4 linked regions of the Arabidopsis thaliana genome follow. The protein of the gene in region 4 interacts with the protein of the main gene of each other region in a pairwise test. Each region holds a gene or a part of one and is shown on either strand. Other genes may lie near its edges.

Region 1 (4,846 bases), on a different chromosome or scaffold from region 4:
CATTTCATAATTAATATGCCCGTACAAATATACGTAGTTATAAGAAAATGAATGATTGTGGACATAAAATTATTTGAAACTTATTGGTGTTTTTCTGACACATGACAAGCAACGACCCCTTCGATTTCTTTCATTTGCATTGTGAACAAACATGACTTTTCTATATACATTATTACATTGGCGGTAAAAATTTGTACTTTTGTAGTTAATTATAGATATATATATCAAAATTAATTTGTAGATACGATTATATCCAATTCAAGTCCTGACTATGTAATCATTGCATAATGATGATTAAGATAGATCATATCATATTTTGATTAAAAAAATTACATAATGTTTTTTCTTAGCAACATTGTGATGCCTATATATATATATATAATGGTGATTGGTGAAATGCTTTGAATCTGGTCATACGATGGTAGAATAGCATATGGGTTTCGATGGACCTATTTGGTTTAAAGTTGAATTAGGGTTATGTTAATACTCTTTTTTTCTTTTTCTTTTTCTGAATCTGTTTTTCCTCCATCCTATTTTGAAAAGTATTATTGTTCTTTGCGTTTTTATTCACTTTCTCACATTCGTGATAACAATAAAAAATTCCATATATGTAAAACCTAAATCCTAACATATGAAATATGATTAACTAATCTAGATTATGGATTAGGATGAAAGTGCTAGCTAGTTATGAGATACCTATATTGTACAATTCATTTATTCGAGTGTATATATTCATAAATGAATAGAGAAAGACATTCAAGTAGAATTCATATAATTTCTTAAGGAAGCAAAAACTACCTTCAAAACTAAAACATATATAGAAATAACAACCATCCTCGCATTATGAATGTCTTTGTTCGAATCTAAATCCGAGACTATTAAAAAGTGTATACATACACGAAGAAGATACATAAACCAATCCAACAATACGCATATATATCAAAATATAGAAGAATACGTATACATATAACATTTTCAATGTATAGTGTAGATATATAAAATCATTCAAGAATCTGATTCATTATCGCTACTATGATGATCCGTATCATGATTCGAGCTCATCAAATGATGAAATGGTCTAATCAAACTCGTATTACCCGGCATCATGTGTTGCTGCGATGCGGTATTTGAATTCGAGCTAAAGAGCTGAAGATGACCGGCTCCATCGACGACATGATGATGATGAGAAGCTCCAAGAAACGAAGGGTATGTCGGGAATAGAGAGCTCATTGCCGGAGGAGTAGGACCGAAAAAAAGCTGAGATCCATCTCCGGCAGACGAGGAAGGAGGATGCAAATTGAGATTATTGTTATTATTAGCAGCAACATTAGATATTGCGACAGTAACGTTATTACCAGATTGGTCTAACGATTGTTGAAGATGTCCAAGGTTGTAATAAGCTGAAGTGTTGTTGTACGGATTGGTCAGAGGAAATTGTTGTTGATGATTGGTGTTAAACCCTTGATGATCTTGATTACTATTCTCGTCGTTTTTGATCCATTTTCCTTTATCAAGATCAAAACTTTCTCTTTGGGTCGTAGTTGTATCGGTTAATCTTGCTCTTGTTCTTGAAGAACCACCAAGATCCCAATTTTCCAAGAACCCGAGATTGGTTCCTGGAAACGTTGTTGATGTAGTTGAAGATGGAGATTCTCCAAACCCGGAGTTTCCGAAGATGAGATTTGGATACATCTGGTTAAATCCATGTGGGAATTGTAGAGGAGGTAGCTTGTCTACGTCATCTTTTGCTGCTTCGAGTAACCAATCAATGACTTTGCTTGGCTGACTCAGCCCTAATCGATCTTGAAGGTCGTAGAGTTGAATAGCTGTAGGTACGGACAACCTTATCCTCCGGTCTCGAAGACCACGGACTGTACATACTTTGCTGTGTCTGTCTTTGCCACCGAATGTTCTTGAGACTCGAACGATTCTTGGATTCCTAAAAGCTGAAGTCCATTGCCTTGAAGATGATACCGAACTCGGCTGTTGTTGTTGCAACATGTGGTTTAAGTTTACTTGATGATTTTGATTTTGATCTCTTTCTTGCTTTGCTTGAATCTCCTCTTCATCACATTCTCCTGATCTCATCTCTTTAATTCACTCAACAAGATCTTCAGTACTCAATTTGGTGTAAAGAACAGATCTGAAACAAGAAGGGAATAAATTGACCAATTTAATAGAAAATAAATCAAGAAGACAAGAATTAGTTGTTGTTAGCTTTCAATTGAATGAAATTGTTGATTTTAAATATGTTTTTGGAGCGAGATTCACATGAAAACAAAGCAATAATATCTCTTTCTTGAGTTTGCATCAAAGAAAAGAAAGCTCATAAGAATTTGAAATTCAAACATGTTGAAGGTTATATGTTCTTACGTTGATTGAATACTGGTAAGCTTGAGTCCTATTTCAAGATCCAGCTTGATAGAGAAGTAGAAGAAGGAGGAAGAAGAAGAATAAGAAAGAGATAAGGAGGCAGAGGAATGTGTAGTATTTCTTTTTTTGGAAACTAGAATTACATATGTATATTATAATGATTGGGGAAGTTAAATAATAAATGAATTAGATATATTTTTAAGTATTATATTCCGATCCCTAGGGCTTTTTTTTTTCGGTATGAAAGGAATTTATGCAGAAGGACAAAAGAGGAGCAATTTATGTAGTGTATTGATACTGTGATGGGAATGTGCATGTTTCGTTACACTCACAGTCACATAAATCTTATATATATAAAACTTTACAATAGTTGACAAAAAAAAAACCTTTACAATAAATTTTAATATATTTTAGTATTCAAGTTTTGGTTCCCTTTCCTTGGTGTTAGACATTCATTTTGAATTTTATATGATTTAATTTTTACCCAAGTTTGTGATCTATGTTGTCTTCTTATCTTAAACAAAAATATAAACATACGGTTAAGGTCATTTAAGAGAAAGTGTACGGTTGACAAATTAATAGTTATAAATGGTAACAAGAGCTTTTAAAGTGAAAAAAAAATATAGTACATGTATAGTAAATTAATAATGGTAAAAGTGGTTTGAACTTTGAACTGTGAAACATATATATATACAAGATCGAGTTTGAAAGTTTTATGAAACCAAATTTTAGTAAATTCAAAAAAATTCATAATATAAACAAATGGAAAGACCAATTTATTTACAGTCGTCGCTCATTTCATTTGAGTTTCTGTCGTTTTGGAAAATGAAAAGTTTTATTTGTAGATAAATTGTTGAATTTCATTATTAACGAAGCAACTTGTTGAAACCCTAAATTTAGTGATAATGAAATGTAGACTTGTTAAAATCAAACTGTTGGGAATACTGCTTTTATTTCTAATTAACTACTTGTGGGTTATATTTTTAAGCATATATAGAAAATATCCATATATATAAATTTTTTGTTTTAATATCAACATATATAAGTAAATATAATAGAGATTGACAGCTAGAGGAGGTAAGGGTCTGTCTCTGAGATAGAGAATGGACCAACGAGTATAGGTTTTTCTTTAAAGCATCTAATGCCTAAATACTCACAAAGAGATTTGTGGTCCACTTCTCTTCTAAGTGTCTTTGCCACTGAGATTTTTGCCCACAATCACAAACCATTTTCTTTCCTCTTTGTATCCAACTTGATCACTACTATATATAAAGTCTTCTGTAATTGACCGCGCCTTTAACCCACACTGGTTGTTTACGAAGAATATTGAGTTACTGCATATATAGTACTGTACGGTTTCAAATTAAGAACTCTGGTTTTGATTATGTAATCTTGAGATGAAATTGACTGTAACAAAGTTACATTTGTAATTTTGCAAGAAAAAGTTTTGTATCAGTTTTTTGGTCCTCACTTAAATATGGGGAAAATATTAAATAAATATGAACCACTTATATATCGTATAATTTTAATGATCATATAAATTGTGGTAACTGTTCATCTCAAATCAAAGGTTCCATGGATTTCTTTTTCCACATCGGTTCCGTAGATTATCCAACACAATTTTAAGGCATTTTAAGATGATCACAACACAATGTCACAGATTATTTTAAGAAGGCGATTGGAAGCCTTCATTAAAGGCATTTCCAAGGATCTTTCCGGATATGGTGGTATATTTTAAACACAAATTATTCTTAGAGCGAGATAGACTTGTACATTTCATTTTTTTGGTACTGTGATAGACATGTACTAACTTTTATATAGATGGTGTCAGTGGTATATTGGTCTAACTAATATATGCTGCAACAATATTAATTATGATGTATGTTCATAAAACTTGTGGTGAAATTTATCACAACAATTTTTTTGTCCCAACAAAGAAGCTTGCCAAACCTACCCGTCGTCTAAAGCAGCCCACTACCAAAGCCGCCTTTAGTCATTGCTTGGTTGGTAACGTCTGTCAAAGCCAAAACCTTAATTTCTTTCAAAATTGATTTAACGTAAATTCAAGCTTAAGGAATAAGCTAGAAACTATTAACAAGATCATATTTTAGGGAATTTTGGGAATGTATGACAGGATTTGGCAACGAATTATGTGAATACAATTAAATTGTTCCTGCCTTTTATATATATACACATAATTTAACTTAATCATCATGTTGACAAAAAAACAACCGAATCATATATAGGGATGGATGATGATGACGACGACGACGACGTGACTTGAGCTTCTTGGCTTAATTTCCTCCGACTTTTGGATCATATATATATAGGATCTTGTGATCATTAGTTGTACAGAAAATACCAAATACGTTAAAATTGTATGTTTGTATACATGTAACATGTATGTATATGTTCGACACTTCTGACTTTAGGCTGAATTTATTTCAAAACTCTGCCAAATTGAAATTTCAGT
Region 2 (4,580 bases), on a different chromosome or scaffold from region 4:
AGCTAGTTGCAGTTTAATATTGGTTGAAATGCTTCTCATCTCATTAATTTGATCATGTAATGTTCTGATCACATTACATGATCAAATTAATGATGTTCTTGGTTGTGCATGTAAGTGTATTTTTTGCAAGTAGTCTACTTGTATATCCACACTTTCAATTTATTGGCAAAAGAAAAGTCATAACTCAGTGTTGCTTGCTTACGTTGTAACACATTTTTTCGATATTTTCCTGCTAAGGTGAAGAGTTTGGTTTCATTGAGACCCCCATTCGTTACTTGTAAGCAAAGATTGCAAGGATAATCCCAAGAGCTTGATGTTCATCACTTGTGTGAGAAGAAATTGCTTTCAGTACTTTCACTTTCACCAAGTACTGACAAAATGGGGTCAGTTGCTGGTGTGATCAAATATGCATGTGTTTCTCACTTTCTCTGGTGAAATAGACGACGACAACCACCACCATAATTTGGGCCGGTAAATTCGGCCCATTAATTGCACACTGTTAAGAGTTATTACCCAGTAAGATTGTAGCATTCTAAAAAATCAAGATTCTCGCTCGCTTACTACAATTCCTGGGTCCCTTTAGGATTTGTCTAGGTAGGAAGAAATATCAAACCGTCTAAATTTCAATAACCTGACGGTTCAACTTTTGTTTATGAAAAAAACTATTAGAGTATTTAGATGATTAGAGATATCATTTTTATGTAAAAGAAAAAAGAAGGGTATGAAAAAGATCTCGAAAAATTTGAAAATAGAAAAACTTATGCTTTTCTCATGAGGCACTTAACCTGGTCGCATATACAAAGATCATGTCAACGTAAAATGAAGATGGCTTCATGATTATGTCAAGAATGTATAATGGTTATTGGTTAAGAAGAGCTGGGTTTATCAAAAAAAAATAAAAGAAAAACTGTTCTTTTTTATCCTGTTTTTTTTTTTATTATTATAAATTTGTTTGTTATCAAGAAGACAAGAATAACTAATTTAATTAGATTAAAGTAAATTTAAAAGTAGAAAAAGGCTTTTAAGGATACATTAGCTGAGAGTCAATAATCTAAAAAGTACAATGACCCACACACAACCCATAGAAGCAGCATTAAAGTTAAGACCTAGGACGCATCACATCAAAGGTTGACCCATGGGCCATTTGGAGCCATGGACTCAATGAGACAGATCGCTGGTTGTGGTTAGATGAGGATGGTCCGGCCACACGTTCACACGATGGACACATCAAAAGTGTGGTCGGTGGACTCATCTGACCATACAACCGCGGTGAAAGCTTTAATGCTCTTAGTTCCGCTGCCTCTTTCTCGAGCCGCCGATTCTCTTCCGTTAATTTCTCAACACATCTTTTCAAATACTCGCAATCCACTTCGGTCTGCTTTAACTTTGTCCTATTAGGCACAAAAATGGGTTGTATTGTAAATAACATTGCTCTTTAGGGGCAAAATGGTCAACTAATATGTAAAAATAATGAGCACTCTAGTTCTCTCACCTTGCTCTTCTGTTTTGGAACCACACTTCCACTTGTCTTGCTGTTAAACCTAGCTTCTTAGCCAAAGCCAGCTTCTGTTTCTGTAGTTTTACAATAAAGCCCTTGTTAAAAACAGAGTATTTACAATAATACTTTCACGCTCCGAGAGATGGATGAATGACTAACGGGATTGAGAGTATTGTGCTCTTTGAAAGTGTCTTCGAGAACTGCGGATTGATCTTTGGATAGTCTAAGCTTCTTCCTACAAGTCTCACCTCCGTAATCTTCCTCTTCATCGGAGGTTCCACGTGAGGAAGATCTATCTAGAGTGATGTCAAGGTCATCTCCGCAACCACCACCGGAGGTACCTTCTCTTTCAGTACTCCTCCTCTTTCCACTCACTGTGCTCGAGATCGTACTGTTTGGAGACGAAACTCCTGTCTCCTCTTCCAAATCCACCGTTGTTGGCAAGCTGTTCACGTCGATTTTCCTAAGAAACTGTTGCTTTTGTTGATCTGAAAAATGAAAAAGGGTTATTTCAGGATCTGTGTTGTTTCCTTGTGGAAAAAGGTTATCAAGACTTTGTTGAAGAAGAAGCTTACCTGAGGAAGAAACAAGGGTTTGGTTCCATGGAAACATCTGGAGATTGGACATTGGTGAAGAAGTGGGTTTAAGATTTAGCTGGAGAGGATGGTTTTGTGCAAATCCCAAGCTAAGACTTAAACCCAAATCCTCTTTACCCATCATCATGATATTGTCTCTTGGTAGAAAATGAGAATAGCAAAAGCTTTGATCTTTATGAGTAGAGATGACTAGAAAAACCTTGATCTAAAGCTGATTTTACCTCAAAAGATTTATCAGTTGTGCTAAGTGTATGGAGGACAAGAGAAACCTTCTTCTAGGGTTCTTATAGAGAGAGAGAGATGTGAAATGGGAAATGAAAAGAGAAAGAGAGGATTAATATAGGAAGTGAATGATATGAGATGTTGTCAGGTTGGCCAATTATAATCTATTAATGCCCTTTTGAAACTCAATTATTATATCCCCAACTTGTTCCCTCTTTGTCTTCTCCTTTCTCTTTTTTTTTTTTCTTTATCTTTTCCTTCTTCTTCTTTTACTATTTTAGTAAATTGTATAGTAAGTCCTATCTTTTGCTATCTTTTTCCATAACCTCAAAGTACTTCTATATATGTATGGAATCCAAAGTAAATTTAAAATGCAAATTCATATTTTCCATCTCTACTTTATTTCTTGCAAATTTGGACTAGGAAAAGAGAAACTCTATAATATGCGGTGCAAATCCATTATGACATTTATTTAGCGACAATAAGTACATCAAATTATATGCCTAATCAACTAAATAATGATTCTAAGTTTTAATTATATACCTTCACATATATATGAAGTGACTCATGTTATGTCTTGCATATATTAGATATAAGCAGCCTTAGCTTCTGATTTAATAGTATCCGAGGAATTTTATTATTGCGCCAATTTGATATCATTTCGAGATATATAGACATTAGTTCTTTATTAAAAAAAAAATTAATAGAATTATTATTAAGAGTTGTAACTTGCTAATCTTTTTGACCATGTCAAAAAAAAAAAATAAAGATGTTATTGGATGAGCTTACTAGAGTGAATTTTATTTAGTATTTACGGTAAGTTGAATAATTGCCAATCTAATAGTTATGCTACAAAATATTTACTCTACTGTAAAGAAATAAACGTGAACATCTTTAGTTTTTTACTCCACCTAAAAGTGGTAGTAAATATTTCAGTTCATTTTCTCTTTTCATTTTTATTTAACCCTCAAATTTTTCCAATCATTGGTGCAAGAACTTGTGACCTTTGTAAAGAAAAAAAAAACAACTCAATCAGTCAAGATCACACACGGATGAGAACAGATATCGAAGAAATAGTTGGCAATTAATTGTTGAAATAATGAAGAAAAAAAAAGGACTAAATCAAGTGGTTGGTACAAAACACAATCCACATGAATCTGAGCTCATTCAAAGTTGTGGGCCAGTCACCTGTTGTGATCCAATCATATCCATGTGGGATGTGGGATCTATCATTACACTAACACCCATATGTATTACATATGAATCCAATATTCACTGACTGTTTCTCTATTTTCATTTCATGTTCTTAAACTTTCAACTATTATAGATCATCATACTTCCCTTATCATCAATTTTGTAGAATTTTTAAGTATTCAGATCGTGTTCTATAATCAGATATATTCTGAGTGCTGCTAATCAGAATCATTTTGCTTTATTGTTGACAAAAAAAAAAAAGAAGAAGTAAATTAAAACTGCCGAAAGATGATTAAAAAATGTCTCAAATAGTTTTGGGCTCAAGAGAGAACATGGGCAGGTGGGTCATGTCACGTGACAACAAGGGACCCGAAAACACTCGACCCGGCCGTGCGTTTTATTTTGTTTCCTCACGCGCCGACATCTTATCATTGCCTACCACGCGCCTTCATCATTTTCGCTTCGTTGTAATCATTATACGCATGATTTCAAATGAAATAACTCCTTCTCATTAATGATCTAACTGTACTCGAAATTAAAAATAGTTAAACATAGTACATTCGAATTATATGCCGTATATAATGAACTAATAATTCATCTTTCTAGTAAGTATTTTTTTTTTCAAACTAGTAGTGTATTATGCGTTCTAAACGAAAACATGAAATATCTATTTAGAAGCTCTATTTGAAAATGTTAATGGATTTGAATACTCACGACAAAACGAACCAAAAAATTGTTATTGAATATATATATTTCTACTTCGTTTTTTGATTAGAAGAAATTCGAGACCCAAAAGCTCGTAGATCCCCCTTAGGTTGAGACGAGAAATTCAAGACCCCTATTAGCTTATATATATTTAGTCTATACTTGTATATAATAGCAGTGATTAAGGGTTCGGTATAGTCCCGGTTTATTCATCTAATTAAGGTGAATCTCTGGTTTATTATTGGTTTAGTTGGTTTGTTGTCTATACAACATTGTAACAAACTTTCAAGATTATTAATGAGAAATTGAGCTTTCACCATGTTTTCTCTCTCGAGCATGGTTCCTATTATGGTATCAGAGCAATT
Region 3 (6,854 bases), on a different chromosome or scaffold from region 4:
ACAATTATACAATATTAAACATTTAACAAAATAAACAAATATAATTTAAAACTTTAAAATTTGAGTTATAAAATTTCGTCTCGCGGTGAATTATACATTTAAATCAAACAATAACATAAATTTATTAAATCATCCTAAAAATTATTCAATTATTTTTTATTTAATAAAAATATAGGTCCGCGGTATACTGCAGATTAATATCTAGTATAATAAACAACATTCCAAACTAAAAAAATACTACAATCACGACCAAAGTTTGCTCTAATTCCAGTCAAAGTTTCAAACCCTAACTGTAAAAGCTCTAGTTCGAGAAAGATCATAATTGATAAAGACAACGACGGCGACGAAACTCCACGGTAAAAGATGCTACCACCGCGTCTCTGAAGAAGAAACTCCTGAGTTTTGGAGGCGACGACGAGGAGGGAGAAGACGAAGCTTCCCGTGTCAAATCCTCTTCGTGTCCGAGGAAATACAGGCGGTTTGTTGTTTATGGATATAAATTATGGTTAAAAGAACGTAATTGATGTTTGTTGTTTTATCCCATTATATATGGGATCTCGTTTACTTCAATAGTTTGGAAAATCAAGTATTGAAGTTGAATATATAGAAGATATGATTTTCATCATTTTAAATAAAAGTAATTAAATGCTAGTTGATATATTTTTCAATGGCATATCTTATAATACCCCACATAACATTTGATTATTTTGCTAACAACATTGCATAAATAATAGTACAAGATAGCTCTTGTTGCTAAAGTACACTTGATTTAATCTTTTTGCCGTGCTCCAGACTTTGTCCTAGAGAGTTGGGTCATACAGGCTTTTGATTGGCATTATAATTAAGTGTGTTTCTCTTTTTCTTTTTCAAAATCGTTCATGCGCTTTGGTTTAGTCAAATACATAAAAGATATCTAGTATTACATTGAAAACCATAGAACAAAGTAAGAGGAAGAAACAAATATAAAAAGTGTGAGATGATCAAGTATATAAGAGAGTGAAAAATGTTTTCACTTAACACTGGACGCTTCCAGAAAACTTTGAAAGCCTTCCTTAACGATATATTCCTCAAAAGAGTATGTTCTAAAATGCGGTTAGCATAACCGGGTCGCCCTAGTCTTCTTAGGTCTCATACGATTATGGACCCACGAGATATATATAACAGGATTTCGGATGTACAAAAGAAAAAAATCAAAGATATAACTATAATAATAAATTATAATCCCTTTTTGAGATAAAATGATTTAAAGAAAAAAACAGAGGAATCAATTTTGGTGTTTAACTTTTACCGGATTGTGTGTTTGGGTTTTGTTTTTATAACTTCTACTGTCCCGTCTTGAGCCGTTTTGGTTTCCGAGTTTGCTTGACATTGTCGTTTCTGGTTCGAGAAACCGGTTCACGAACTTCATGATCCTATCGAGATGTGAACAAAACTATAAACTATCAAGATCCAACTCATGAAAATGTGTTTGAATTGAATCAAACGTAAGTAAAGAAAAAGATACCTTGAAGGAAGAAGACGAGGATTGTTTAGCGAGCTCGATTTCAACGGAGATGCTTGCTTTCGTTAAGTCCACTCCTGAATTCTCCAATGCTTCTCTCAGTGTTTTCACTAATCTGCTCCACACACAAAAGTAAATGTATAAAAGGTTAATAATTTTTTACTTTTACTTAACTGTTGCAAGATCAAAATTCAAAAGAGAGTTTTTTAGTTTTACCCTTGTGAGTAAACACTTGAAATTCTGATGTTACCCTCAAGAACTTCCTCATCTTCTTCTTCTTTTTGACTCCGGGAACTCGGACTTGGCTCTACAGCCTCTGATGATGCGACTCTTGCGTGGAACTGGGGTACGGGATTACCCGCAATCACAGGAGAGAAAAAACTGTTGCTTTGAATCGACAATGGAAATGGAGAGGTCGTCGCGGTTGTTGGATGATCAATAACAACACCTTGTGCAGTTGCAAGGACCGAAACCGGAATGTTGTTTTTCTCTTCTTCCAATTTTGGAGCAAAAGCAACTCCTTCAGGTACTAGCTGTTGGTTGTTGTTACTCTGCTATAATGTAAATGGATCACACGGGTTAACATTACATGGTTTGTTTGTTTTCAGTTTCCAACCCGGGGAATAAAAATGAAGTATGGTCGGAAAATGTGAGATTATATTTACCCAATTCAATAGCTTCGCAGGTTCGTGATTCCATCCTTGGTAAGAGGTCACATACTTGTCTGCTTTCTCTTGTAAGAATTGAATATACTCGATAACCTGTATGAAGTTGTCAAAAAAAAAAATTGGAGATTAGGAGCAGATGTGATTGAATCTTACTGTCACAAAATTTTCGGCCAAAAGAGTATAGTTATACCTCTAGTAAGAAGGAGGCCTTATCCCGCTTTTGGTCGCTGTTAGGTATTAGTTGTCTCAACATCTGAAATCTGCAGAGGGATCCATTAACAATGTTTGATTAGTATCTCCACTCTGCTAAGCTATATAACCAATTCTGGTGGCTTTTGCTACATATTCAGGACTTACCTATCATTGATCTTGCTCCTTCTCCGTTGCTCTGTAGCAGAATGTTTAGACCTAGGTGTGTTCAGCTTTTGATCGTTAGGAGAGCCTCTCACATCTGCTTTTACCCTCAAATCCACTGTAAAGAAGCAATCAATCAGATCCTAAGCTGTTACTGTTTAGACTTTAGATATCATATAGGTGGAATCTCGGACAATACAAACCTCTATGGCTCTGGCTAGTCGAGGAGCTTTCTTTCTTCATGATAAAATCTTCTTCATCATCTAAATCATCTTCCTGTGAACTTCCTTTTGCTGACCTTATCATGTCCATGAAGCTCTGGCTCTTAAGCACAGACCCTCTGCAACCAAAGTAAAACTTTAGTTGATCACTCTTTAAAGTCCATAGACCGAGTTATATAAAAAAGAGAAGATATGAGACTAACTGAGAGGAAGAGAGAGAACTGAAACCGCTCATATGGTTGTTTGTCAAAGACTGGGACCGTCTCTCCGCCACTGGCCATTGTCCCACAGTTGCTGCAACATCAGCTACACATTCAAAAAAACTTATATTTCATCATTCCATTGATTTCTAAATACTACTTTAAAACTAGTCTAAATAAACATCACGATTCAAGTTTTCTTGTTACCTCTCATGTTTACTCTCTCCCCAACACTATTCTCCTTCCTTGTCTGTCCCTTCTTCCCAGAAGCAGATTCATCCCACAGAGTGAACCCGCTTGATGCAGCGGCGTACGAGCTGCAATTAGAGTTAGAATTCTCATCCAAAACGTTTCTCTCATTAGCATTGAACATCATTGGTGGTGACAACTCCGGCTTAGGAATTCTCTGATGATGATGATGGAAGTAAGGAATGGGGCTAATCGTATAAGTCCCTATACCACCGGGAAGCACGTGCTGCAACGGTGGAGGTGGAGCAGGGGGCGGTGGCTTCTCGGACGCTGTAGTGGTAGAGTTAATCCTACTTACGTCTTCTTTAGCACCAACACATTCTAACGGTTGAAGAAAATCATGGGTTTTCAAGTGACTACCTGCTTCACGTACCATCAAAATTAAAAACATAAACTATATGTTAGAGAAGTAAATCCCTAGATAATACACATTTTCTTATACATCAAGTTGTATGCATTTAAACGCTTATAGTAATTAACAACATTTTGTTATTTATGTGATGCAATTCTAGGGATCAACATCATGAGGGTTGAAAGATATTTATTTAATCGAAGGCAAGGTTTAACGACATGTGTAGACGAAAAAGAAAGAAAAAAACGGTCCCAAAATTCCATGGGCTTTAAACACAGATGGGCCCATTAGGACCCAACAAAATAGCAACATTTTGATCCATGATTCGTCTTAAAGTCAGATCAGATGCACGCGCGAAAAAAACGTGACCCCTTTTAAGAGAATCTTAAAGAAGAAAAAAGGGTAAAATGGTAAAAAAAAATACCTTGAGAAGAAGGTGGTGGTGTTGGCTTTGGATCTGGGTGGACGGTTGAATGACTGCAGAGCGATAAAAAATCATGTGTTGGTTTTCTCCCTGTGCGAAATTCTTCTTAATATATATATCAAAATTCAAAAAAATACATAAATTTAAAATTATGAATCTTGTAGAAACTAAACACTCTGTTTTAAAATAAAATAAAGGAATTGGTAACAATAATATCTGATAATGGTGTTTACCTTGGGTTTTGAAGGGACGAGGTTGAGGAAGCTCCATGAACGACAGAGCTTCGACGGTTTTTGAATTCTTTTTAAATTATTCTATTACTAATCTGTGCGCGGGAATTATCGCAAAAATTGGCTAGCAGCTCAGATCTGCGACTTGTAGCAGCTGATTCAAGAGATATTGTGGTTTTCGATGGTTGAAGAAGCGGAATTGAGCTCTGAAGTTGCTGAATTATGCTTTCTCTGTATCTTTTTACCGATAAAAATCCTCGAATTTGGTCAAATTCTGCTCGATTTAACCTAAATCAGCCTCCGCCGCAACTTTTCTCAGCGAATTCCACAGAATTCAAACGGGAGAATCGGCAGAAGTCACCAAATTCGTGGAATCGATAGATCTGTCATCAGAATTGGGTAGAAATTCAAGAGAATAACCATAATTCAGCGGAATTCATAGCTCAAACCAACTCAATTTCGCATAATTCAAGTCAACCAATGAACATGGAGATACAAAAACTAGAATCCAAGTCAAATCTCTAAAGAACACGAATGGATTAGATTTGAGCTAAGAAGCGTACCTTCTTCGACAGCAAATTACGTGAAGCTTTTGGCGTGTCAAGGTACTGTTGAAATTACGCCGACTACTATCATGCGTCGAAGTAAATGCAATCAAAAGGAAATCAGTTAACTAATTAAAATGGTAAGATATGTATGATTAATTAAGAATCTCATGTATCTGATATTCAAGTCATCGTACATTCTTCTATAGCCTAATACCACCAAACCTAAATGAACAGTGCGAAAAGGAAAAATAAAATAAAGAAGATTTTGTGTCTCCGTTTAGAAAATCATGCTTATAAAAACCTCCATGTAAATAATGTAATCAGACCACTGTATTACGTGGTCTATGTTCGTGTGTACTGAATGCGCATAACTAGACGACTTGTTTAATTGGTAAATTGGAAGGTAATTGGTAAGTTTGACAAAGATACGTACTACTAATTGATAGCTAGGCTTGGCTGCAAACAATTACCAATTTAATAGTAAATTTAGTAGTAGAAATTCTGCTATAGATGATGGAATATAGGGGGACAAGTATGATTTTGTTCGTACGTGTATGCGTCTATGTATTTGTGTGAGTGGAGATATATGTAATGTATGTGACATTAGGTGGAACAAAGACAGCTCTTCCGCCTTTAACAAATTGTCTAAAACCCATAGTTAAGAACCTGATCATGTGAGCTAAGCGCATTTTTATATTTAGTTGAATGCCACTTGTTACAAAATCACTAACTTATAAGTAAACCAAATAGACGACTTACAAATTACAGTACTTATTTTAAAAGTCTTGTTAGCATTTACTAAACTAACATATGTCTAGTACTGTATATAATTTGAATTATATATTCGAAAAAAGTCATCTCTTAAAACCAAAAATAAAATGATAAAATATCTTTAGTCCATTTGTATTCAAGCGAAAATAGTTATGGCTTTCAAGTTTTTGCAAGTACGTATATACTTGATTAAATTACTTAAGATTTTCAGTAGTTAAGAATTAAATTTACTTACGAGTAATATTTATTGCCCTCCCCTAATGCTTACAATCTAGTTAGTTTCTGAGTACTACATCTTTCCAGTAGTCATGAGTTTAATCTGAAGATAGAAATAATAAATTGAAAACAGAGATGGAGATGATAGTGAGAAAGGAACTATAGCTAAATAGTGTTGGATCACATGAAGTGAAAAATTGTACAAAATAGGGAAAGAGCAAAAACAATTACACATCCCCACATGCCTTCCACTTTGTCTCGTGAGTTGTTAGGTTGTGCTTAAACACGCTTTATTCTCTGTATTTTATATTAACCCCATGAATTGTATTATATTGATTTAAAATCACTCGCAATCTCGTGGTTCTTTGATGAAATGTATTATTGTTATTCGAGATTCGGTTTCTCTAGAGCACAAGTAATTGGTTAGATACATTAAAATCAAAAACAAAAAAGCAAATGGAATTGTTAAGATTTTTACACGTTTAGATGAGAAGAAAGAAAGAAATCAAGGAAAGTAAATAAAAACGAAATGGTCAATTCAAGTGAAAGGCGAATAAGAGGTTAGTGTGACGTCGTTTTCATGATGTAGTGGGACCACGTGAACTGACTCTGCAACTCACGTGAGAGAAACACTGTAGAAACATAAATAGATTTTCGAAAACATTAACATCAAGGGCAATTTAGTAACAATACTTCTTGACTAGAAACTTGGAAGGCTAAGGGTTTTAGTCGATCGAAGAAAGAAGGTTTCCATTCAGTCTCATAAACTGTTTATTGATATGCCACAAACCGACCTATCCTTAACCATTCGTGGTTCGGTTGGGCACATCATGTTCTTCCCGTCTTACGTAATTCAATCAATAAATAATCATTCAACTTGAGTTAGTTAACAAAATAAGAAGAAGCATATCAAGTAGGTTTCAACTTCAAAAGATTAAGATCAAAATAACTTATATAATACAAAACATATTTTCTTTAATTTCCTACGCATATTATAAAACATATCCATGGAATTAATTAGAATAATGTATAGGAGAAAATCATTCGCGGAGTCACAAGATTTCTTAAACATATTTTTACATATTTAATCCAATTTGAAGTAAATCAATGCGAGATCTCA
Region 4 (7,769 bases):
TTGTATGTTTTTTTTTTTTTTGCATGAGCCCCCACATTCACATTCATCACGCAGCGGTCAAATCACCCGCCCCACATTTTCATTTATTGATCTGTTTTTCATTATCGTTTTCTAGTTAATTATTCATTCATTAGGTTAAGTAGTTAGTACTAGTGTAGTAGCTAGTTCTGGTTTTCAATAGTTTTTACGGTTTGATTATGGTTGGTGTGTATCATTCATCCGTAAATGGTAAAACCTCGATCGATTTACATAACTCATGTAGACAGCGGATTAAAATAGCTGTCCTTAGACTTAAAAAATTCTGTTATTGGTTATATAAAAATATTCCACCATTTTCTTTAAATTATGCTGAAAAATGATAAAAAGAGATTGTACATAAATAAAACTTCCATATTTTTGGTCGGTATAAAACTTCCATAAGAGTTTTGTAGGTTTCTGTCCAAAAGAAAAGCTATTTATCAACTTCCATTACTAACTAGACTACCCAAAAGAAAAGTTTATAGGTTCCTCCAGCCTAGAAGTCAAAGAACAGCATCATCATGACTAGTTTTCTTGTGATAGATACTATTTCAATTTAATAGATAAATACTAGTAATGATTATTGATCATTTAATGTCAAAGATTCATTCAAATCTAATCTTTTGGATGATTATTATTTATGCATACAACCTAAACTCCGCATACATTTTTCATGTTACATATGAGCTACCAAGTCCATTAAACGTTTTTTGCCAAAAACTATGATGATTAATTTAGTTTATTCGACATGCTTTTGAGGCCAATCTTTGTGTTTATATTTGTACATTAACACATGATAAAAACTTATAAGATTACTAATAATAATTCATCTTATATCTATCTATATATATATATATATATATATATATATATATATATATATATCAAATTTCGTAAAAGGAAGATGAAGAAAAACGAAACAAGTCCAAAACATAAATAAAAATAAATATCTTGCCATACATAATGTCATAATTGATTAAAGAGATTATCATCAGAATTTTTCCATATTACATATAGAGTTATGGACTCTCTAATTCAACAAACCTTAGCCAAAAACAACATCCCCTAACTTTTAATATCTAACATAACCAACCTTTTCCTTCATCAAACAAACGACCAACTAACGAGGGTAAAAGCCAAGCAGTGGTTTGATTCGTTGTCATCAACAACTTTCCACACCGTCGCTTGCTCATACGAAACCGGTCTGCCCATGCTCGACACACATATTCCTGCCGGAAGATTCGCATATCCCTGAAGAAGATTCAATCCAAACTTAGTATTTTCCAGGGAAAGACTTAAAAGACTAGCTAGAAAATGTTTAACCTGCTGCATGATCTTGGCGAACTCGGAGCAAAGAGCTCTACGACCAGAGTCATCAAGTGTTTTGTCGAGCATTATATCCTGAAGTGCCACAAGTGTAGTTTCAAGCATGTCTAAACCAGCTTGGTTTGCAAATGTGAATACCGGTGAGGCCTGAGAACCAAAAAATAATCAGACAATTCCCAAACCGAACCATAAACTAGATTGAGCACCTCTTAAAAAAACAGAATTCTTACATTAGTTTTCAGGGAGCAGCACAATATGGCATCACTATGGTCCCAGAGTTGCTTAAGCAATGTGTCTCCTCCACAGGACTGAGAATCAGCTCCAAACAGATCTGCACCTGTATGAATACTAAAACATCGGAGAAAAACATTTTATTGAGTTATTAAATGAGATAAGCACATTCTATATTGTTACAAGTCTTTAGATTAAGGTTCTAAGAAGAGTACCTGTAACTACGGGTGATCCAACGGACAAGAGTGAGAGCTTCAGGGGAAGTGGGAAGTTGCATTGAGCCAGGACGAGGCGTAATGGCTAGAGCCACTCTCTGAATCGAACCAACAACGTTCCTCACATACTGTCTCGCCATTGTAGCAACATTGTCTCTGGAATGGTTATCAAACGTGAACTGGAAGGCTATTGTTAAGACCAATCTAGAGTTTGTTTCCGAATCGGTTTTGGTGGAACCATCTAGGGACGATGCTAGATCCCGTGTTCGACTTGCAGATTGATGATCATTCTGTAACGTTACATACAGGAATAAAAGAAAAAGGACTGTGTCAATTTCAAGATATCAAATTTCTTATCATAAACAGTTTTCTTTTTACCGGATTTGTTTTTTGGTCGAGTGGTATGACACGGAAACCAGAAGGAAGCAAAGGTGCATCATCAGCAAATGATTCATCGATTGGGGCAAAGACAAGCTGAGCACAACCTCCAACCACATTTTCATCAACGCCGCTACAAAGCTGGACAAAAGCAAAAAAGAAACCAAGAATTCAATTTCAATAACTCATCTTTAAGAATCCCTGAGTGTCTTTAGTATAAAGCAAACCTGCAGTAAATACATATCCCGGGATAAGCCCATGTCTTCAGGTGAGTAAGCATGACCTCCAAGTCTAACCACTTCGAGAAACTGAGAAACAAGTAAGCAAAATAGGATTATAGGCATGGCAAAAGAATAGACAACAAGGAAAATGTTCTTGAGATTCTTTGTACCTCTTCATGTTCGAGTGTCTGTGCGAGAGGAAGAATGACTTGGTTACTCGGGAACCCACCGGTTCTGACGCATGGAACAGCATATGGAGTTGCTCTGAGAGATGCAGCAGAATAGGCATCGACACCATAGTCTGCCCATTCAGCTCGGTGTTCTCTCAGGAACCGAATCAATACAAGGGGTGGAACATTCTTCAAGAGCAGATAAAAAAGAGAATGATGTCAGAAATTGAAGAAACCGGTTCTTTTGTCTATTCACAAGTGTCAAAACATGATATAGGCACCTGCAACAGCATAGAAGCTTTGGCACAGAGGACACCACTTCCAAAACTTGGAAGAAATGAGCTACCGTATTGGGAGCCAGCAAATTTAGCAGAGGAAGAGTTAATCATGATCGTAATATCCTCTCCTCCATCACTACTCATTGGAGACCATCCATCATCGACAAAACCATTTACAGCATCATTGAAACCCCTGAATTTCAAGAAAAGCAATTAGAACAATGCTTTAGAAAATAAAACTAAGCTTATCAAGGAAATGTATTACCGGCAGAGTCTCTGGCTGAAAGTCCTTAAAACTGCAGGCTGGCGTCCACCACTATACTGGACTTCTCCACTAGTCTCTTGAGCAATTTGGCGCACATGTCTCAGAGCCTGAAATGTGGAAGTAAAACTCATAAAGAGAGCCTAATCAGGTCACGGGTGGATAAGGTTTATATGGAACTTACAGCGACAGTCATTTTTTGAGCAAGGATTTTGGAAGACTCATAAAGAGGCCTGAGGACTTCAGGAACACTTGAGACCTACCAAACCAAAAAAACGTATCAATCAACATAAATAGAAGGCTTTTACGAAACCTAATGTGCTATTACAAATCCAATATGCTTACATCCAAGTCCACATGATCAACGATGTGAATAATGGAACCACCACCATCACAAGGACGGATAAGAAACCCGCTTGACAGCATTTTGGCTCTCACGAAGCTTGAAGAAAGTGGACCATTGGGGCCACCAGTTGCAGAAGTGAGTGATCTCTCACAGACCTGAAGGCAAAAAAGCAAATATAAGGCAAATCTAATAAATAGAATCATAGATGAACAAAACCAGGTCCTAATACCCACCACATAGCTTCCATCTTCTAGACTTGTACTATATCTCAGCGTCCAAAAGTCACGAGCTGCTGCTAATGTTGTAGGAGCATAAATCTGATAACCAACCATGAATAATGATCATTACATTTTAAAGGAACAAAAACAACACTCATGGATTTATGAAACAGACCTGAGTGTTGACAAGCTCGATAGTACCACCATTTCCAGTGGGTATAACATTCAGAGTCTCGACACATCGACAGTCACGGAACCAAGATGGACGATCTTTGAGGATTTCAGCGACCTACACAGTATTTGAAGTTTAGATTGCCTTCGTAGAATTTCCGCTTCTTACAACACAAGATTAAAATAAAAAGAAAACACCATTACCTTCATGGGTTCTAAACTCACGAGGCCACAGGCACGTGCTGCTATTCCACTGCAGTTGCGTGAAACAGCTACGATACCAATAGAATCCGGACCAGGCTACATACATAACCATGAAAATACATATTAAAACATTTTCTAAAAACCACTTCATTTCCACATATGAAAACGTTAAAATACTTCAACTTATCTACCTTCATCCCAATCATCTGGACCCAGTCGACAGCAGTTCCTGTAGCCTTGCAAAGGAACTCCGCCAAGGTCTCCTCCGCAATCGAGAGAAGACTACCAAAAAAACACTCCATTTAGTCTCTTCTCATAATGTCACAATGAGAAATTCACAAACAAAAAAAGAGCCTTCCTTACTTAGCTGGGTTGTTAACATCACGCTGAGGATGCTGATGTGTTGGGTTTTGCTGCTGACGTTGCTGACCACTCACGACCACAGACTCACAGCTGTTGTCTGTGGTCGTCCCAGAAGCCTAAGACACAACACAGAGATTTCACCAGTCACTCTCTAACAACAGAGAACTCTTAAAGAACAAATACATATACAAGCATCAAAGATAACAACTCAACAATGCATTTAGCAAAAGGGATTCAAGGACTTACAGTGTGGATTCGATGTTTCATGAATCCATTCTCATAAACCAAGTTGGAGACTTGCTTCTGCAAACGATCATTCTCTTCCATCAAAAGCTTGTTCATAGCACTCAGCTTCCTGTTCACTGTCTGAAGACGAGCTGACTCTTTCCTCTGCTTCTCTCGACATCTAAAAAGTCAACAAAACAACCAAAAGAAACCAGAAAAGTTAAAGACAAACCTATAGCAGTATGATAAATGTGTTGAAATAATAGAAAAATGAACAGAAGAAACACACACTTTTTTGCTTTAGAATGATACCAGAATGACATAAAGAACAAAAGATAATGTAATTTCCAACATATTCTCTGCAGAAGGAAAAAAAGAGAGAGGCGTTTTAAAGCTCATCAAAGACAGTTTGATTAGCTGTCACTTTTCCTTGTGATTTTAACTTTCAACTGTGTCAACAAAAGCCTAATAAGCAAAAAGAGAAAAACAAATTTATAGACATAGATCTGAAAGTTTCAAAAGCTTAACAATCACCAATTAGACCAAAAACAAGAAGATTACCAAAAACATTGTCAGACAAGAACATTTTTGTCTCCAAATACAAACAAAAGAAATTCAATTTTATAATTACAGAAACAATCAAAGAACACAAAAAACATTCCATTAAAGACAATTAATAAAGAAATAATAACCTGCGATTCTGGAACCAAACTTTGATCTGTCGAGGCTCGATGTTACAGAGAATGGGACATTCACGAATAAGCTGTTGTCTTCTCAGAGAGCTAGGTTTAGGACACTCAGCATAAACTCTCTCAAGAGCTTCAACTTGTTCCGGCGTGTATCTAACGTACTTGCCGGAATCAAATCCTTTATCAGGAGAGTCTCTATCGTCCATGGAGTGATGAGCCATCATATCTTCCAAACAGGTCAGTAGAAATCAGAGAGAGAGAGAGGGTTTACAAAAAGAAGAATAAAGATCGATACTTTGAGAGAAGTAAAAGAGACTCAGATGAAGAAATATTAGATGGGTAGGCTCTCTGAGAAGAGAGAGCCTCCTGTGAGAGTGTTCATGAGATGGTAATGGTTGGAGAAAAGAGTTTTTTGGGTTTTTTTCATTTGCTCTCTCTCTCAAAGGAGATTGAAAGATGGAAAGAGGTAAAAGGAGCAAAAGCGAGGCAGCTAAGTAGAGAGAAGAGAGAGAAGAGAGAGAAGAGAGAGGAAAATACTGAAAAAGTAAAAGTAAAGATCTTTCTGAGAGAGAAAGGACAAGGAACAACCCAACAAGATGCACTAAACTGGTAAATATTGTTTTCAAAAAAAATTAAAGGTGAAATTTTTGGGAGAGTAGGTTGAATTCAATGTTTTTGGTTAAAAGCTTTTTACTGTTAAGGCAAAGTAAAAATATTTAAACTTTTTCTTATACAAAGCTAAGCTTGAATTTTAATTCAAAGCTTAAATTCTAAAAGTTAAAATGATTAACTAGGATAAAAGTTTATGTCTTTGATAACTCATTATCAAAGCGGTAGAGTTTGTACAACTTTGACAGTTATCATTTATAAAATCTTTATCAAAAACGTTATAAAAAGTTTTATTCTCAATTTTATTATACAACTTTCTCGTACAACTCTTTTTTATAGTTTGCAACTATTCCGAAAAATTTTACAATTCATCTAAATTACCAGTTGGACCCATATATATTCTTTGGTTGCCACCATATAAATATTATTAGTTAAATAGATAATTATAATATTGATTGAATTAGATTAACAATTCATTTTAAAAGTTTCGTAATATTTGATGCATAGTTATAAGTAAATAATTACTTGTTTTATTATTTTTTCTTACAACTCTTTTAAATAGGTTTAATATGAGATGGAATCTTGATTACACTTCTCTAATTCATATCATTACCACCTAATTTTCTTTGTGTAAACATGTTTCTGTATTCAATATTCTTGGATTAGATTAAAAGGACAAGTAGATGTTGACAATTAAAAAGGATTGAAAGTGATTAGTTTTGAAAAACTTAAATGCATTCAGATTTCAGACTAAGGCTAAACACAAACAGATGAGAAAACCAACACGCAAAGTTGTTGTCTCTGCAAATTTTAAGACATATCAATTATTATCAGAATCCCTAGTCCTAATGGCAATCGATAAGAATAAATATGTTTATCTATTGGTAACAAAAATAAATCATGCTACAACTATTTATATTCGTAAAACGTAAGTGTTGTTGTCAGAAGAAACGGAATTTTGACAAAATGGGGTAATTTGCTAACTTAGGGAAAGAAAGCACTTCTCTTTAAGCTCTGTGACAGTGGCCTACCCAAACATAGCATCAAATTTTCCCTACCCTCTTTGCTCTCTAGTCCTAAGACGTTGTATGTATGTATGTATGTGCATGTACATATTTTCATGATGATGGTGTTGTTGTATGCCTATCTTTTGTATCCATGTGGAAGAGACGATGCATGACAAGTATGTACAATGTCACTATGCGCGTGAGATGCGTGAAATCTGTTGTTTTTTTTGGTTAACCTTAATTGGTTTTATTTCCTTTAACTTGTTTTGAAAGTTTTGAATATAAATTAGGGAATTTAATGAAAAAAACCCTTAACTTTGGCCAGATCCATTTTAAACCCTAAACTATGTTTTTAGTAAAACAAACCCTGAACTAAAACCTGTTAATAAACTTAACTCCACAGTAATTAATTATTAATGGGATATTAATTTCTAAAAAAAAAAACAACGAGACATTTGTATTTAGCGCAAAAACCACATGATGTTCTTTAAAACTATTTTGAATTTATTACAAAAAAACGTTCTAAATGATTTTGAATTGCTTAATTAGTTTGGATTTTAGAAGCTGAAAGAAAGACACAACAACTTAAAATAATCCAAAGAGTCATACTTAAATAAATCCAACCAACATAACTATCGAAGCTGTTGCAACACAACAATATTTGTCACAAAAAAAACAATCGTTTCAGAGGGACAAGATATTCTAAAGTAAAGACTTGTCAAGCATTAACTTTGAAGAGAAGATTGTATTGGCTGAGTGATAGGGTTCTCTTCATCCATTGTTTTCTGTTTTTTCCTTGGTCGTCTTTGAGGTTTCTTGGGTGGTTTTGGCACTGCTT

What was found.
Region 1: the proteins of PHV (region 4) and TCP5 interact in binary tests that used the Arabidopsis thaliana proteins (3 or more experiments, as listed by UniProt).
Region 2: the proteins of PHV (region 4) and HAT1 interact in binary tests that used the Arabidopsis thaliana proteins (3 or more experiments, as listed by UniProt).
Region 3: the proteins of PHV (region 4) and BIM1 interact in binary tests that used the Arabidopsis thaliana proteins (3 or more experiments, as listed by UniProt).

The regions. Positions count from the first base shown.
Region 1 is NC_003076.8:24,534,565-24,539,410, forward strand, and holds TCP5 (TEOSINTE BRANCHED 1, cycloidea and PCF transcription factor 5), read right to left. Parts: upstream 2,681-4,846; 5' UTR 2,374-2,680; intron 2,144-2,373; 5' UTR 2,089-2,143; coding exon 1,006-2,088; 3' UTR 773-1,005; downstream 1-772.
Region 2 is NC_003075.7:9,737,503-9,742,082, reverse strand, and holds HAT1 (Homeobox-leucine zipper protein 4 (HB-4) / HD-ZIP protein), read right to left. Parts: upstream 2,566-4,580; 5' UTR 2,222-2,565; coding exon 2,074-2,221; intron 1,987-2,073; coding exon 1,658-1,986; intron 1,573-1,657; coding exon 1,493-1,572; intron 1,392-1,492; coding exon 1,100-1,391; 3' UTR 849-1,099; downstream 1-848. UniProt on the Arabidopsis thaliana protein: Probable transcription factor.
Region 3 is NC_003076.8:2,605,333-2,612,186, forward strand, and holds BIM1 (basic helix-loop-helix (bHLH) DNA-binding superfamily protein), read right to left. Parts: upstream 4,919-6,854; 5' UTR 4,763-4,918; exon of another isoform or gene 4,583-4,762; 5' UTR 4,240-4,582; coding exon 4,203-4,239; intron 4,072-4,202; coding exon 3,970-4,071; intron 3,554-3,969; coding exon 3,152-3,553; intron 3,051-3,151; coding exon 2,948-3,050; intron 2,864-2,947; coding exon 2,727-2,863; intron 2,642-2,726; coding exon 2,527-2,641; intron 2,430-2,526; coding exon 2,360-2,429; intron 2,263-2,359; coding exon 2,167-2,262; intron 2,056-2,166; coding exon 1,718-2,055; intron 1,617-1,717; coding exon 1,505-1,616; intron 1,413-1,504; coding exon 1,323-1,412; 3' UTR 686-1,322; downstream 1-685. UniProt on the Arabidopsis thaliana protein: Positive brassinosteroid-signaling protein. Transcription factor that bind specifically to the DNA sequence 5'-CANNTG-3'(E box). Can bind individually to the promoter as a homodimer or synergistically as a heterodimer with BZR2/BES1.
Region 4 is NC_003070.9:10,795,206-10,802,974, forward strand, and holds PHV (Homeobox-leucine zipper family protein / lipid-binding START domain-containing protein), read right to left. Parts: upstream 5,889-7,769; 5' UTR 5,540-5,888; coding exon 5,319-5,539; intron 4,808-5,318; coding exon 4,648-4,807; intron 4,518-4,647; coding exon 4,402-4,517; intron 4,321-4,401; coding exon 4,230-4,320; intron 4,135-4,229; coding exon 4,039-4,134; intron 3,953-4,038; coding exon 3,839-3,952; intron 3,763-3,838; coding exon 3,679-3,762; intron 3,601-3,678; coding exon 3,445-3,600; intron 3,359-3,444; coding exon 3,284-3,358; intron 3,210-3,283; coding exon 3,103-3,209; intron 3,031-3,102; coding exon 2,841-3,030; intron 2,749-2,840; coding exon 2,560-2,748; intron 2,477-2,559; coding exon 2,396-2,476; intron 2,310-2,395; coding exon 2,169-2,309; intron 2,081-2,168; coding exon 1,791-2,080; intron 1,693-1,790; coding exon 1,575-1,692; intron 1,492-1,574; coding exon 1,342-1,491; intron 1,270-1,341; coding exon 1,123-1,269; 3' UTR 919-1,122; downstream 1-918. UniProt on the Arabidopsis thaliana protein: Probable transcription factor involved in the determination of adaxial-abaxial polarity in ovule primordium. Specifies adaxial leaf fates. Binds to the DNA sequence 5'-GTAAT[GC]ATTAC-3'.